Xenopus tropicalis: one gene and its partners. Each later gene encodes a partner of the first gene's protein in a complex. Links are inferred from orthologs where the notes say so. Each region holds a gene or a part of one and is shown on either strand. Other genes may lie near its edges.

The links.
Region 2: ecsit (region 1) and tmem186 share a complex: the UniProt entries of both Homo sapiens proteins name them as parts of the mitochondrial complex. The link is inferred for Xenopus tropicalis from reciprocal best matches to the Homo sapiens genes ECSIT and TMEM186.
Region 3: ecsit (region 1) and coa1 share a complex: the UniProt entries of both Homo sapiens proteins name them as parts of the mitochondrial complex. The link is inferred for Xenopus tropicalis from reciprocal best matches to the Homo sapiens genes ECSIT and COA1.
Region 4: ecsit (region 1) and ndufaf1 share a complex: the UniProt entries of both Homo sapiens proteins name them as parts of the mitochondrial complex. The link is inferred for Xenopus tropicalis from reciprocal best matches to the Homo sapiens genes ECSIT and NDUFAF1.

What each region holds. Positions count from the first base shown.
Region 1 is NC_030679.2:139,307,485-139,311,681, reverse strand, and holds the start of ecsit (evolutionarily conserved signaling intermediate in Toll pathway, mitochondrial precursor), read left to right. Parts: upstream 1-1,375; 5' UTR 1,376-1,388; intron 1,389-2,515; 5' UTR 2,516-2,533; coding exon 2,534-2,632; intron 2,633-3,319; coding exon 3,320-3,692; intron 3,693-4,197.
Region 2 is NC_030685.2:38,351,975-38,356,316, forward strand, and holds the start of tmem186 (transmembrane protein 186), read left to right. Parts: upstream 1-1,505; 5' UTR 1,506-1,600; intron 1,601-4,216; 5' UTR 4,217-4,225; coding exon 4,226-4,342. Other genes in the region: pmm1 (phosphomannomutase 2), read right to left, coding at 1,268-1,330. UniProt on the Homo sapiens protein: As part of the MCIA complex, required for efficient assembly of the mitochondrial complex I.
Region 3 is NC_030682.2:57,067,384-57,071,656, forward strand, and holds the start of coa1 (cytochrome c oxidase assembly factor 1 homolog), read left to right. Parts: upstream 1-1,453; 5' UTR 1,454-1,562; intron 1,563-4,273. UniProt on the Homo sapiens protein: Component of the MITRAC (mitochondrial translation regulation assembly intermediate of cytochrome c oxidase complex) complex, that regulates cytochrome c oxidase assembly.
Region 4 is NC_030684.2:115,761,547-115,765,769, reverse strand, and holds the start of ndufaf1 (complex I intermediate-associated protein 30, mitochondrial), read left to right. Parts: upstream 1-1,363; 5' UTR 1,364-1,364; coding exon of another isoform or gene 1,365-1,366; coding exon 1,367-1,879; intron 1,880-3,885; coding exon 3,886-4,071; intron 4,072-4,223. UniProt on the Homo sapiens protein: As part of the MCIA complex, involved in the assembly of the mitochondrial complex I.

The DNA of each region.
Region 1 (4,197 bases):
GATACTGACAGGAGGGAGTGTGAGTGACAGGAGGGAGTGTGAGTGACAGTGAGAGATACTGACAGGAGGGAGTGTGAGTGACAGTGAGGCATACTGACAGGAAGGAGTGTGAGTGACAGTGAGAGATACTGACAGGAGGGAGTGTGAGTGACAGTGAGAGATACTGACAGGAGGGAGTGTGAGTGACAGTGAGGGATACTGACAGGAGGGAGTGTGAGTGACAGTGAGAGATACTGACAGGAGGGAGTGTGAGTGACAGTGAGAGATACTGACAGGAGGGAGTGTGAGTGACAGGAGGGAGTGTGAGTGACAGTGAGAGATACTGACAGGAGGGAGTGTGAGTGACAGTGAGGGATACTGACAGGAGGGAGTGTGAGTGACAGGAGGGAGTGTGAGTGACAGGAGGGAGTGTGAGTGACAGGAGGGAGTGTGAGTGACAGTGAGAGATACTGACAGGAGGGAGTGTGAGTGACAGTGAGGGATACTGACAGGAGGGAGTGTGAGTGACAGTGAGGGATACTGACAGGAGGGAGTGTGAGTGACAGTGAGGGATACTGACAGGAGGGAGTGTGAGTGACAGGAGGGAGTGTGAGTGACAGTGAGAGATACTGACAGGAGGGAGTGTGAGTGACAGTGAGGGATACTGACAGGAGGGAGTGTGAGTGACAGTGATGGATACTGACAGGAGGGAGTGTGAGTGACAGTGAGAGATACTGACAGGAGGGAGTGTGAGTGACAGTGAGAGATACTGACAGGAGGGAGTGTGAGTGACAGTGAGGGATACTGACAGGAGGGAGTGTGAGTGACAGTGAGGGATACTGACAGGAGGGAGTGTGAGTGACAGTGAGAGATACTGACAGGAGGGAGTGTGAGTGACAGTGAGAGATACTGACAGGAGGGAGTGTGAGTGACAGTGAGAGATACTGACAGGAGGGAGTGTGAGTGACAGGAGGGAGTGTGAGTGACAGTGAGAGATACTGAAAGGAGGGAGTGTGAGTGACAGTGAGGGATACTGACAGGAGGGAGTGTGAGTGACAGGAGGGAGTGTGAGTGACAGGAGGGAGTGTGAGTGACAGTGAGGGATACTGACAGGAGGGAGTGTGAGTGACAGGAGGGAGTGTGAGTGACAGGAGGGAGTGTGAGTGACAGTGAGGGATACTGACAGGAGGGAGTGTGAGTGACAGTGAGGGAGTGAGTAAGGGAATACATGGGGGACAGCAGCTGGAGAGTGTAAGAGGATGAAGAGTGAAGACAACACGTTACAGTGCCCGGAACCATCTCACTCAGTCTTCTGTTCCCGCCCGGCTCGGAAGGCAGGCTCCTTGACGTCACTCAATTCCTCCAAGATGGCGGCGCCCAGTCGGCTGCAGTGACACTGAAGCTTGTAGGTAGGTGTATATATGTCGGTATGTATGTAGGAATACCGGGATAAGTGTTTGTGGTGTACTGCTCAGTGAGCGGAGCCCTCCAGCTACAGCCATACAAGGCGCCCCGGTGCCCCTGCCCATACACACAGGCCCACTGGCTGAGCGGTACCGTACTGCCGGACCGTATAGTACAGATCCCCGTACTGCCAGCTGGGGTTAGTAGTGAACAAATATATTTCTGTAATTGGAAATGAATTATGACCCGGGTGCATTTATAAAGAATAATGAATATATTTCGAAAGCATAAATACAATAATATAAATGTCTGTGCCCATCTCCCACCTATAGCCTGTGCCCATCTCCCACCTATAGCCTGTGCCCATCTCCCACCTATAGCCTGTGCCCATCTCCCACCTATAGCCTGTGCCCATCTCCCACCTATAGCCTGTGCCCATCTCCCACCTATAGCCTGTGCCCATCTCCCACCTATAGCCTGTGCCCATCTCCCACCTATAGCCTGTGCCCATCTCCCACCTATAGCCTGTGCCCATCTCCCACCTATAGCCTGTGCCCATCTCCCACCTATAGCCTGTGCCCATCTCCCACCTATAGCCTGTGCCCATCTCCCACCTATAGCCTGTGCCCATCTCCCACCTATAGCCTGTGCCCATCTCCCACCTATAGCCTGTGCCCATCTCCCACCTATAGCCTGTGCCCATCTCCCACCTATAGCCTGTGCCCATCTCCCACCTATAGCCTGTGCCCATCTCCCACCTATAGCCTGTGCCCATCTCCCACCTATAGCCTGTGCCCATCTCCCACCTATAGCCTGTGCCCATCTCCCACCTATAGCCTGTGCCCATCTCCCACCTATAGCCTGTGCCCATCTCCCACCTATAGCCTGTGCCCATCTCCCACCTATAGCCTGTGCCCATCTCCCACCTATAGCCTGTGCCCATCTCCCACCTATAGCCTGTGCCAGTCTGGCTCTGTCTCCTACCAACCATGTGATTGCCCTGAGCACTAGGAACCCACATGGGCGGCACCACTGGTACAACTGTAGGGGCATGGCTGGCCTTTGGGGTGCACCATAAAGAAGGAGGGGTGCCAGGGTGTCCATTATATATTTATTTATTTATTTTATGAAGCAGCATCAAGCCGTCAGGATGAGAACCTTGCGCTTCCTGATTTCTGCCCGTCATCTGTGTGCCCGGGGCAGAGGCATACCAGCAGGCCAGGCTCTTGGCACCGGCAATAACGCCCAGGTAAGCGCAGCGCCGACACGTTTCCACTTATACGTGGAATATTCCATTCTCTCCTGTCCCCTCTCATAGTCAGACTTTCCCTTTAATCTCGGGCGTGTACCCTCCTTCAGTTACAGACAGGGCACACTGGCTACCTAGTGGGCAACAATTTAGAGAAATGGAGGGCACTCCTGGCTAGAATATCCTTGCCAGGAGTTATTATATATACAAAAAATAAGTATAAAGTATCCAGGTGCTAGGGTTTTAATAATCCCCCCATAAGAGGACTATACACATCCACAAAAACCCTGCACACCAGAATAAACTTTCCCAGGGAGGTATTTATAATTAAAAAAAACATTTTATTCATTTAAACAAAGGCGTTTGAGCGGAAACGTTGGGGTATTCTCTCATCCAGATTATCTGCCTTCATATCTTGTTTTTCAGTTATTACACTGGGGGTATGTATTTATTTGCTTTTTGATGGATATACAATTTTTAAGGTTGATACTTTTTTCTGTATCATGTTTAAATGAATAAAATGTTTTTTTTTAATTATAAATACCTCCCTGGGGAAGTTTTTTCTGGTGTGCAGGGTTTTTGTGGGGTTTTGTACCTAGTGGGCAACCACTGCATATTGTCACCTGAGTAATAGAACTTCCCTGGAAGCTTAATCAGAAATGTTATCCTGTGCATGTCGTCTTCCAGAAACAGGTGACCTGCTGTCTTCACACATCTCCGCCTCCTGGGCCTCCCCAAGCCACTTCCTCAGCCGGCTCGGTTACTCCATACGAGGATGTGTTCCAGAGGGAGCAGAGGAACAAAGCCTCCTTTGTGGAGGTCCTTGATCTTTACTGCAACCGAGATGTGAGGAGGAGAGGACATGTGGAGATCATAGAGGCGGCTCTTAGATGGATGACGGAGTTTGGGGTGGAAAAGGACTTGGAGGTTTATAATAAATTGCTTGACGTGTTTCCCAAGGAGGTCTTTGTCCCCCAAAATTACATCCAGAGGATGTTCAACCACTACCCACGCCAGCAGGAGTGCGCCATAAGGGTGCTAGAGCAGATGGAGAATTACGGTAAAGAGCCTACTACTTACTACACTACTTACTATGGGCCAAGGAGGGGGCTATGGGACATGGAGTCTGTCCCTCCCACTGCAGGGTGATACAGTGACACAGACAGGAGGGGGCTATGGGACACGGAGTCTGTCCCTCCCACTGCAGGGTGATACAGTGACACAGACAGGAGGGAGCTATGGGACATGGAGTCTGTCCCTCCCGCTGCAGGGTGATACAGTGACACAGACAGGAGGGGGCTATGGGACATGTCTGCCCCTCCCACTGCAGGGTGATACAGTGACACAGACAGGAGGGAGCTATGGAACACGGAGTCTGTCCCTCCCACTGCAGGGTGATACAGTGACACAGACAGGAGGGGGCTATGGGACACTGAGTCTGTCCCTCCCACTGCAGGGTGATACAGTGACACAGACAGGAGGGAGCTATGGGACATGGAGTCTGTCCCTCCCGCTGCAGGGTGATACAGTGACACAGACAGGAGGGGGCTATGGGACATGTCTGC
Region 2 (4,342 bases), on another chromosome or scaffold:
TCTCTCAAACATGGGGTCCAAAAGATGGACCCTTTATCATGGTTGAACTTCAGCTCCCTATTGCCTGCATCATTCATGTAAATGCAAGACATGCTGGGGTCATTTATCATTGTCCCACGTGCAAATGCTACAGCTCAAAGGGGCTCAAAATTCTGCCTATTACTGACCATTTACCCAGCATAAGGGCCAGCTATGCTCTGCACCTCACAGCAGATTAATAATTAATGTGCTGGCGGGCATGAATTTTTAGCCTCCCAAAGATAGAATGAAATGCAATTAGGGGGGAAGGATAGAAAACTCCTATATGCCCCCTCCCCAGTGGTCCCTTGTGAATACAGCTCTGCAGAGTGCCTGTTTTTTCAGGTTGTCAGGTTGGGGGTGCACAGGGTCTTGAACTCCTCGCTGGACCACAAAGACCTGCATCCATGGTGTGAATGCAGGCTGAGTTCAATTGTGCAAAAAACATGGCAGTTTGAACCAATATCTGCATTTTGTTAAAATTATCCTTACTTTTTATGCAGACAGTGCATAAAAAAAAAAAAGTAATCTAGGATTACTCGAAGATACAGAGCTTCTTGGTGATTTCACCTACTTGTAGCAGTGCTTGTCATTAGCAGTGTGTCCCAAAATGTACTCCAAGCAGCATGTACTAAATGTTTATTGTCATAAAGCAAGCTAAGACCTTTGTTGTTTGTCAGTAAAAAAGATAAACCCAGTCACAAGTACAAGAAAACTTATTCCCCATAGAAGGTGTAAACACTGACCATCACTTTTTTAGAAGTAAAGTGAAATGTATTAATTTTTTACCTAATTTTACCTACTTCTAGACTTAGTACAAGGAAAAAGCTTAATCACTGATGTGGTCACAATTTGTTAGCTACCTCTTAGTACTTATAATAATGTTATAATATATAAAGGGAATTTAACCCCCCCCCCCCTTCTAAATCAATTCTATGCAATTAGCAGGTCAAAATGGATGCATTTTACTGAAATGCAACATACACTATGAATTCCCGGTTGCAGCCCGGAATCCAACATAAACTATAAACTTAATGGGGCAGAAGGGTAGAATTTTGTACTGTTATTTATATTCTGGTAAAGTCTTAATCTTACTCTGTCCTATTGCGTTAACTTTAAGCACTGCATTTACATGCAGTATATAAATGCAACATATACACACATAACATGTTTGCAATGCTGTGTGAAAATAAACTTGTGCCAAAAGTGACAGATCCTTGTGAATAGTTCTCGGTTCTGATACTGGTACCTGCCTGGCTGCTGTCAGGGTGCCATCCACATCGAACAAGCACAGAACGTCACATTGAGCCATGACTGCTGCCAGTCGGATCTTTCTCAGCTCAGATGAATGGAGAAACACAGTCCTTTCAAATGTCAAACAAGCCACATCACAACTTCCTATTTGGGTCCTGAAGCCCAGAGCATGACGGGAACTGTATTGCCGGAGTCAGGATGTCACCGACTGTTCATTGACAAAAGAACTCAATCTCCCAGAATGCCTCGCATGGAATCGGAAGTGATTGTAGCTTAGTGCGCTGGGAAGTTTAGCAAAGGAGAAGCGTGTGTAGGAGTGCGGACAGGGGTGAGTATAGAAGAATCGAGCTGCCTGTCCTTCCCTTAGGCTTAGGGAACTCGTACAAGGAAGTGTTCAAATATGACATTTTATTTAAAAAATTGATGTATTTAGAAACAGAAAATTGCTATGCACAAGAGAAATGCAAAAATAAATAAGAAGGGCGTTGGGTGCCTTGATGTTGGTTTTATTAGTAACTGGTGTTTTAAAGAAATAAACTTGCACCACAAATTTAACAGATCACATTCATTGACAGCGTTGCGCTACGTTAACTCCGGCTTGTCCCAGCCTGGCCCGGAAAGGCAGGAAAACTGGCACCAAGGGGGCAATCCTTTCTTATTCAGTCTGATAAACAACTAAGGAAAAGGGGCATCAAAGTGGGTATCTTTGCCATCCTGCCAGCAGATATATGGGTTAAACTGAGTGGCCAAGGGCGTTTAACCCCTTCATCACCCCTGTTACTTACTCAAATAGGCAGAATCATCATTCATTTATATAATGCCAGCAAATTATGCACCACTTCACAATAAATTTAAACAAACAGGGATTTTAAAAAGTTTAACAAACACGGGTATGCAGAGTAAGAATAGGGTGAGAGGGCCCTGCTCGCAAGAGCTTACAATCTACAGGACTGCAAAGATGCCCAGTAACATCTAGTTATGCCAATGTGCATTGGTATTTAATCCATTGTTGCCACAAGTCTTTTTTTTAAAGGGATTATTCACCTTTTTGTCAATTTTTACTATTTTAAGAATGTCCCAAATTTTTCATTGGTCTTCATTTTTTAACTTTTATAATTTTTCAATTATTTGCCTTTCTCAGAAATTCTCTTTCCAGCTGTCATATGGGGGGTCACTGACCCATTATTATTCTTCCGCTTCTTCTTCTTCTTAGTGCCCCCCATTTTCTAACCGCTACTCCTCCTACAGTTTTAGGGGTACAACACCCAAACTCCCCACACTTCTTCGGCCTATAGAGGAGCAGGTTGCTTGTGCTTTTCTAAGCGATTGCGCCGCTCCGAACCCCCCAATTTTTCCATTGACTTTGACAGGGAAGATATTCAAACTGCTGGCACACTTACAGCTTTGAAGCTGCACCCCCCAAACTTGAATAACATAATAATGGGGTCACCCCGAATGAAACAGCAACATTTGTTGGATGACCCCCAAAGTGGGAGGGGCCAATCAAATTTTACCCATTGACTTTAATGGGGAAATTGAAACTGCTGCCAATCTTACAGCTTTGAGGCTACACTCCCCAAACTTGAATCACATAGTCATGGGGCCAGCCTGAATGAAAATATGATGATTGTTGGATGCCCAAAAGTGGGCGGAGCTGTGAACAGCCAATCAGATTTTACCTGTTGACGGTGGAAGTCCCCAAACTTTGCAGGGTTAGGCACCAGGTGACTGTGGTTCAAGGTTAAAAAAGTGGACGGAGCCACCAACAGCCAATCAGAGTTTACCTATTGACTTTCAATTTTGCTTTAAATTTAAAATGCTGCCAGTCTCACACTATTTATGCCAGGGTGCCCACTGTTTGTCACTGGGTGACTTTGACTCAAGGTTAGAAAAAGGGGCACAACCACCAATCACAATTCACCTATTGACTTTTATTGGTTTAAACTGCTGCCGTTCTTTAACTATTAATCCTAGGGTCCCTAAACTTACCAGAGTTAGTCACTGGGTAACTGCAGTTCCAGGTTAGAAAAAGGGGGTTGAGCCACCAACCACCAATCAAATTTAAGTTGCTGCCATTCAGACACTATTAAAACCAGGGTCCCCAAACTTTGCACAGTGGTTTTTACTGTATAACTGTGGTCCAAGGTCAGAGAAAGTTGGAGGAGCCCATGCAGTGACTTCATGTTTTTCAACCCAACATGAAGTTTTTTCTCAAACTTCCCTTTCTAGTTATTATTGAAACTTTTTAGCCTTATCCTTATATACATGCCCTCTCATTTTAATGTTCTGGCCTCTTTTAATCCAGGGCCTGGTTTCTACGTTAAATTGACCCCTAGCAACCAGTTAGCTGCTGAAAATCCAAATTGCAAATTGTTTCCGAATATCACTCTCTACATCATAGTAAAATTTAATTTAAAGGTGAACTACCCCTTTAAATGAGAGACTGAAAGATGAACGATAAGTAATAATAACAATAAAATTGTTACCTGAGAAAGAAATAACTTTTTGAATTTAAAACTTGGAAAGAGGCAGAAGTGGAAAGCAAATCATTAAAAAACAAAATTAAAAAAAAAAAAGTAGCTGAAATCATGCCATTCTATAACATATTCTGGCCTTGGAACATGTGGTATGACAAATTATTTGAGCACTACATGTAAATTGCAGCACAGTACTGGTATAGACAGTCCAAGAGGCAGTTAATTAGCAACAGGTACCATAGCCACAATGCAGTAGTTTGGAACACAGAATGTAAGATGAATAATAGAGGGTATGAACAGAAAGATAAGAAATACAAGATAAGAATAGAAAGCTGTGGGTGGAAAATAAGCAGAATAGGAAGGCTAATAATTTCAATTTTCTGTGAACTTTTCCTTGAAAAATTTTAGGTAATGTGAGTATATATAAGGCATTATGATCTAACAGTTATATTGTTTCTCCTTTGCAGGACCCAGTCATGGCCCATGTATGCCTGATATCTAGATGCATAAAGTATTTACACATGGGCCAGTTGGCCTGGAGTTCCAAGTTACTTTGCAGAACAACTTTCTTCAGATCCTCTTCAGTGTCACTG
Region 3 (4,273 bases), on another chromosome or scaffold:
AAACATGATTAATATTTAGTAGATTAGTAAGCAAGTATAAACATATTCTGTTAACTGTTAACCTAGCTCTCCTAAACTCTCAACCGACTCAATTCAGAGTTTAAATGTTTAGTTGTAGATTAGAGGAGGACCTACGGGTAAAGCTTGGACACTGTAAGGAGACAGGGGAGGCGATGGGAATTGCTATGTGTAAGTGTGAGAAGCAAAAAGAGAGACGTGCAGAAGTATTGTGTGCTGTATACCTGCTTCCCTGCAAGAAGTCTGTAATAAAGTGTGTGTGATTCTTTGCAACTGGGTTAAGATGCCTACTTTTTTAGTAAAGACCGTGTACATGCATTTGACAGTAATGGGTGCCTGCCAGCCACAGGTAGCCCTGTTACAAGCCAACAGTATTACTTGGAAAAAGAAAGATTATTAAATAAAAAAAACCTGTAATGGTTTTGCAAGACTCCAGTGTCCCCAGTAAAGACTATAATGAATTTATCCGCCGCTTTATCCCAGAGCGAATCTGAAATACAGCCTCCTAAATACTTTAAAGGTTCAGTGGATTAAAACTGGTATTATTCACAGATATGCTGCATGAGCTGGGATCGGATTCAGAGCACAGCTGTTCAGAGATCCATATGAAATGTGACCTTTTGACCAGCTTATACTATTATTTAGGAAATTATATTCCGTTTGCTTTCAGTTAATTAAAGTGATACTGACACTAAAAAACTACTCTTCAAAATATGAATGTATGTAAAAAGTTACCTATAGGTCACGTTGATCATTTTTCACAGATAGGGCTGCTTTTGTAAGTAATTGTTGTTTGAAGTTCCTAAACCTGACTGTTTTGCCAACCTGACTGTCCCTTCTCAGCCTGTCAGTTATCATTTCTAATGCTAACAGACTCCTGCTGCACAAATATGGCTGCCCCCTCATAAAGCAACATGGGGGATCAGATGGGTAACATAAAAACAAATACTATTATGGAAAAATTATAAATAGCATGCAAAGGCAGTTGTAAAAAGGGTTTAATTTCTGGTGTCGGTATCTCTTTAACACCTGGTTGTATGACACACTGGTAACTGTTAAGTAATTCTGCAACTGCATAGAAGCTGGTTTCAGTATTGTTAAAGGGGTTGTTCACCTTCACATAAATGAAGCTATTTTAGCAGATTAGGTCATTTTAATAAAATATGTAATTTATCTGTTTTAGAGAAAATTACCTCTGAAGATAGCGTTTCTGTATAGGGCAGGATACAGCAGAGGCACCAGGGGAGGGGGTCGCTGAACCCTTTCTGCACAAGCCTGTGTCAGCGTGTGGAAGCTCTGTGTAACACTGAGCACTGGCAGTAGGAGTCTAAAGCTACTGTGCATGTTGCTTTTCTTGCCTCTCCTCTGATTGGCTGCTAAACTGCCCGGCACCTGGTGCTGCTGCTGTCTCTGCTATGAATGTTCAGGGAGGGAGGGGGGAGCAGGGGGGAAGCTCCCATGTGACTCACATTGCAGGGAAGAAACAAATGCTCCGCCTCCCTGAAATGTTTCTGTATGCCTTTGTGTGAACTGCAGCTTTTACAGTAAGTGTTAAACAGCTTATTCAAACACATAGATACACAGTCTTTGCGTGGCACATATTATCATACTCAGGGGAACATAATCTATCTTTTGGGTAGCAGTGAGAAAAGGTGGACAAACCCTTTAATGGGACTTGAAGCTCCTTTGCTTTCCACTGAACCTACGCACCAAACAGTGTGAAAAGCAGAGGAACTTTAAGTCACACAACCCATTACTTTACAACAAGGTGGGGGAGGTTGCATTATACTGTGAGTAAAAGGGGGGGTGGGGAAACTGGTTTCATTGAAAACAGGCAGACTATTACAATCTGTGAAATCAGGCATTTCTGTGTAAATATATATTCTGGAAGGTTAGTGTTTATGTACCTTACCTACATAAGCATAACTAAACAAAGTCTTGTCAAAAAGAGAGTATTATTATTATTAACATTTATTTATAAAGCGCCAACATATTCCGCAGCGCTGTACAATAAGTGGGTTACATACATTGGACATACAGAGTAACATATAAAGCAATCAATAACCGATACAAGAGGTGAAGAGGGCCCTGCCCAAAAGAGCTTACAATCTACAAGTATATTTAGCTTCTCCAGAGGGACATGAGAAGGTGAAAAAGAAATCATTCTATACTAGTAAAATGGGTAAAAATGTAAATTAGAATGCAACCAACAAATAGTCTTTATTTCTAATGTACTACAGAAAAACATCTGAAATGAAAATTTATTTGGAAGGTGAACAACCCATTTAAACTAATGCACTGATGCTGGAAATTAATTACAACAACTTGGGTTCCAAAGATTCCAGTATACGGAAATGAATGATATATGTATAACTCTGAATTGTGTTATACTGTATATTTACTTGTCAGTTATATTTAACTGACCCTATTCCTTAAGCATTAAAAATTCCACATTGCTAGTTTAGAAAAATTTGCATTTATATGCAAGCCATTTATACCCTTAAAGGAGAAGGAAAGGCTAATAAAGAGTTAATCTCAAGCTGCAGGCATACCTTCAGTTGTCTCAATAGTGCCCTTAAGTCTCCCCATATTTCTCCTGTTCAGATGATCAGAAGCATAATAGGGGGAAAAAATGCTGAGCTGTGTAAAGAAAGTTCCCATAATGCCATGCTCCTCCACCAAGACCAAGACTGGTTACATGCTCAGTTTGTAAGACTATGAGGAAGCTTCCTGCTGATTGGCCCAGATCCACATTCCTATGGGGGGGAGTGAGTTCTTAGCATTCTTTGGGGAGGGGGTGCAGGAGAGGGGAGAGAGGAGAGAGCTGGCACATGAATTACAGACACAAGAAATCTTTTGTATATATGTATATTTTTATTTATAAAGCGCTACTTATGTACGCAGCGCTGTACAGTAGAATACATTAATACGAACAGGGGGTTAATAAGATAATAGATAAATACAAAGTATAACAATAAATACAAATAAATACAAGATACAGTTGCAATAAGTTAAGAGTCAAAGACACAAGAGGATGGAGGTCCCTGCCCCGTAGAGCTTACAATCTATATGGGAGGGTAACTTACAGACACAAATAGGCAAATATAAGTGCTGTAGGTCACAGTGGGTGACATTACAATATAAGTGCTGATTCCCAGATCAGGTGCTGGGCGAGTTCTCCAAAAGGTAGTCTTTTAGTTTGGTTTTAAAAAGACTGGGGGAGGATTCTCTCCGGAGGAAATCAGGGAGGGCATTCCAGATGTAAGGGGCAGCAAGGCAGAAAGGTTAAGGCGGGAAACAGCAGTTGTAGTGGGGGGCGCAGCCAAGCGATTGCTCTGCGAGGAACGAAGGAGTCGGCCAGGGACGTACGGAGACACAAGGGAAGAGATGTAGTGAGGAGCAGAGGAATGGAGGGCTTTGAAGGTTAGAAGAAGTTTGTAAGATATTCTTTGTTTAATAGGAAGCCACGATAAGGCCTTTAGCAGGGGAGGGGCCTGAACTCTCCTGGATGAGAGGAGGAGAATTCTGGCAGCAGTATTTAATATAGACTGTAGGGGGGAAAGATGGGAGTTAGGGAGGCCGGTTAATAACAGGTTGCAGTAGTCCAGTCGGGATAGGATGAGGGCATGCATGAGCAGCCTAGCTGTTGCAGTAGAGAGAAAGGGACAGATTTTGCCAATATTGCGTAAGAAAAAGTGACAGGTTTTGACAGTGGAGTTAATGTGGTCAGAGAAGGAGAGACAGGAGTCAAAGATCACCCCCAAACAGCGTGACGAATCGACAGGGTTGATGAGGGTGCCTTCAATAGAGATAGAAAAGGGGGGAGTAGGACCAGGCTTAGGCGGAAAGATCATTAGTTCAGATTTTGACAGAGACCTCAGTGCAGCTTTTCTGTGAGTGCTTATGGCTGTATTTACATAGACTTTCTGATAAAGCTTACTTAGTTTTTACCTTTCCTTCTGTCTGTGACATCTTAGGTTAGCCATTCTGGCTAATTTGCCAGAACCAAAGATTGTCAGTCAAGGCCTGAAAGAAGGAGAAAGAGGATCCATCTAAATACTTGGAAAGTATTTTTTACAATGAGAGCTGCGAAGTTGTGGCTTTCTCTTCCTGAATCAGTTGTACTGGCTAATACATTAGAGAGCTGGTTGAATGCCTTTTTGGCAAGTGAGGGAATACAGGGTTATGGGAGATAGCTCTTAGTACAAGTTGATCCAGGGACTGGTCCAATTGCCATCTTGGAGTCAGGAAGGAA
Region 4 (4,223 bases), on another chromosome or scaffold:
TTAGCACGGCTCCCTGAATTTGGTTCCAATCTGGGCACTGTATGTTTTTCCTGTGCTTGTGTGGGTTTCCTCTGGGAACTGTGATTCCTCTTAAACCATACAGTGAGCTTTATTGGCCTTTGATGAAAGTGACCTTAGTGTATGTAAATGATATAGGGACCTTAGATTGTAAGCTCCAATGGCAAAGGGGCAGATGAGTATCATAATCAATGCAATGTGCTGCATTTATATATGAGTGATATATAAATAAAGGATAATATTTAAAACTGAGGAAAAGGGATGCAATATTGCCTAGTATGTGGTATATGTATTAAGCTTTTTACACAAACTAACACGATCTTCTTAACTCACTGTTTCTTATAAATTCATAATTTTGAATGCACGTGATGGCTGGATAGATGAATGATAATCTTAGTTAGGTAGACTAATCTGTAACGTTGTCTTCAAGAATGTTTGTTAGGTGTAAATAAAGCTGTATACAAACGCTTTCCCATGCGTTCCATCAGCAACGCATCTGCGCATGCCTGCCTTTGCCTGCCCGCTCTCACGTTTAATTGGTTGGCTAGCGGTGAGGTCATTAGGAGGCGACACGGACACGCATGCTCAGAGGTTCACGGGTTGTCAGTACTATGGCTCCTTGAAGGAGTGCACTGTGGAGGTGAGCCGCTGTAGCCTTATGGAATAATGGTAATACTGTGTGCTTGCTTCAGCTGCAGCCCCATACCAGGTATATAATGGAACTTGTTGCGGTACAGGCAGCTATGCAGGGTCCTTCAGGGCTTTACCACTTAGGCAATAAAGGCACATAGTATCCAAGCTCCTTTCTGTCATTTACATTGTTTTGCACCAACTTGACCTTCTTTTGTTATGTCAGTCTCTGCTGAAATGATGACCTTGCCTTCCTAAGCTTCTGCTTCCAGGGGTAAGCCTTTTGGTTATTGATGATGATCTCTCTGTATATGTATCAGCATGCATTGCTAGGAAATGTATGAGCCCTAAACCCACAATACCTACTTAGCACATGTCTCTGTCCCTTCCCCCAAGCGAGTTGCTCTCTTAAACTTCACACCTTACCTGATGCTCCCCACTGCTGTAATGTATTCAATGTTGGTTGGTTGCAATGGTGCAGATATGTTTGTAAATAACCCCCCCCCCCCAAGAATCTTTGATGTTGATAATTGCGCCCTGAGGAAAAACACAGTAACTTCTACAGATTTCTTTAAAAAATGTATTTGTATTTAAATGTCTTAAATGATATTGTCTTTTTCTCTCAAACCCCAAATTATTTTTAGGTAAAGGCCCCTGGGTTTCATGCAACATTCAGGATTTTATAAACTGAACATTTTTATTTTATATCTAAACAGCAATGGCTTTAAGCTTAAATATAATACAGAAGCTACATCTGTGCAGACATCCCAGATGGACTAAACCATTCTGCCCATTGTTGCACCCGTCTTCACAACTCTTGCAATGCAAACTGTACAGCAGCAAATATCGCAGGCCTGGCCTCCCCCCAGACAACACTCCTCCTTGGAAAAGGATCAATTTCAGCTTTGAGAAGGGAGTGGCAGGAGTGAAGAAACACTTTGGGTTGCTGAAGAAGGAAGTAGAGGATCATTTGAGAGGTCCTGGGGGAAAGACTTTGAGGGAGAATATTTTGGAGCAGACAAATGTTGTTTGGGAGTTCAGAAGCTTAGAGGATCTGGACAAATGGACTCTATCGTCAGACCAGGAGATAGGAGGGAAAAGTCAGGTGTCTCTAAAGCTGGGAAGGAACAATCAGACAGCTCTTTTTTATGGTACCCTCAATACTGAAGTTCCTCGGGATGGCGAAACAAGATACAGTGGGTACTGCACTATGAAGTCCAAAACCCCTTTGGTAAGTACAGTGCTAGTAAAGAGAAATAATGCACTTCCATGTAAAGGGGTTGTTCGCCTTTATATTTACTTTTAGTCTGATGTAAAGACTGATATTCTGACACAGTTTGGCTTCTGGGGTCAGTGACCCCCATTTGAAAGCCAGAAAGAGCCAGAAGAAGTCAAATAATTCAAAAACTATGATTAAAAAATATTGAAAACCACTTGAAAAGTTGTAACAAATAAGTCTACAGTGTAACATACTAAAGCTGAACTTAAAGAATCACATCTGTTGCTAAATATTTTTAGTGTTCATAAATTTTTTTTTTTTTTTTTAAATGTAACTTTTAAATATGAAGGAATAGCAAATTCACTGTGGGATGCCAATATGTTGGGCGCCCCCCGAGTGAATAAAATTGCTATGTCTTTATCCCTGGGGTTGGTGCTACTGTTGGGAAAAATACACAGTGCTACATGGCTTAATTACCTTTCCCAGGCGTCTGTAGGGCAGACTTAAGGCCATACATGGGCAGATTTAAGCTAGATAAGCCACTCAATGCAACTGCAATAGGAAAGCATTGTTGTGTTTTAGCCTCTGCCCTTGAGCCACTGTCCCTCTTAACAACAGTGTGGTTACTATGCAACACAGAAGAGCTGCGGAACAGAAGCTACACACAGATAATAACTGTCCAAATAGTTATTATTGTTGTTTTAGAATAGCTCTACCCATTTTATTGGTTGCTAATGGGTTACGGCACCTAGGCAAAATTATTGCCTTTTTATATATTGGGTTAAATATATGGCAGTGTCAGGGGGAAATGTTCTATAAAAGGCAGTAAAGGTGTGGGTTGCTGTGCTCATTATTAAATGTTTAAAGGCTACACTGTACCATTTATTCACTGCCTTTATTTAATATTTAGACTGATCTGATAGCAGTTCCAAATAAAAGACTAATGAGAATGTTGGTGAACTGCTACATTTTATATTGAAACCAGTTAAGTGTGCACAGTCTGTTTATTGAATATTTAATGGTAGGTATGTGCAACATGCATCAAACTACAGTGGCCATTAGGGAAAGCTGGAGATTTATAGCTGGAGGGCCAACGGCCTTTGGTTTTTGTTACTTACTGGAGTGGACCATTACCATTTCCATTATAAACAATTTTTATGAAATATGCATGGTTTACCTCCAATTTATTTCCTCTTTTAGGTAAAAGGATTCTGTCATGATTTTTATGGCATACTTTTTATTTCTGAATTACACTGGTTACATAGCAAATAATTCACTCTACCATTTAACACTTTATTCTTGAACCAACAAATGTATTTTTTAGCTGTAATATTGGTGTGTAGGCGCCATCTCAGTGCATTGTGTGTCTGAGCTTTCAGAAGGAGCCAGTGCTACATATTAGAACTGCTTTCAGGTAACTTAATATATCTCCTACTCCAATGTAACTGGAGGAGTCCCAAGCCGGACTTGGATTTCTTGCTATTGAGTGCTATTCTGATACCTACTGGGAGCTGCTATCTTGCTCGCTTCCCATTGTTCTGCTGATCGGCTGCTGGGAGGGGGGATATCACTCCAACTTGCAGCTCAGCAGTAAAGAGTGACTGAAGTTTATCAGATCACAGGTCACATGACTGTGGCACCCTGGGAAATGAAGAATATGTCTAACCCAATGTGAAATACAAAATAAAAAATGTTTGTGCTTTAAAAAATTGTATTTCAATGCAGGATTCTGCTGAAGAAGCTGTATTAACTGATATATTTTGAAAAAATGTTTTCCCATGACAGTTTTTCTTTAAGTATTTATCTCCATAAACTTTAATGTAACAGCTCCCCCAGTGGCCAGATAATAATGAACGTTAGCAGACTGCCAGCTTGGCTTTACCAACAAATAACATTTCACATGTGTGATTGCAACCATGGCCTGTCTTCTCCAGAGTAATAAATCTGTCATTGCAAAAACCTCAGGGTATAAATCAATGCACATAAATGTTTCATGATTGTTTGTTTTTAACATGTAGGGAGCATTCAATCGTAAGCTGCATTATGACTGGTCCAACTTTAACACTCTGTACTTGCGAGTACGTGGGGATGGACGACCTTGGATGGTGAACATCAAGTCAGACAGCTATTTCTCCCAACAAAGGGATGATCTATACAATTATTTCATATACACCCAAGGAGGCCCTTACTGGCAAGACATAAAGGTAAAAGAAAACCATTAAATCCTGTATTTGAGGTTGGGATGAGTTTGCCAAGATTGGGCAAACTAATATCTGGCTGTGTAATAGTTTAATCCCATCTAAAAATGACAGATTGCAGCCACTTCCTGCAGAGAAGAGGTGTCATTAAAAAAAAC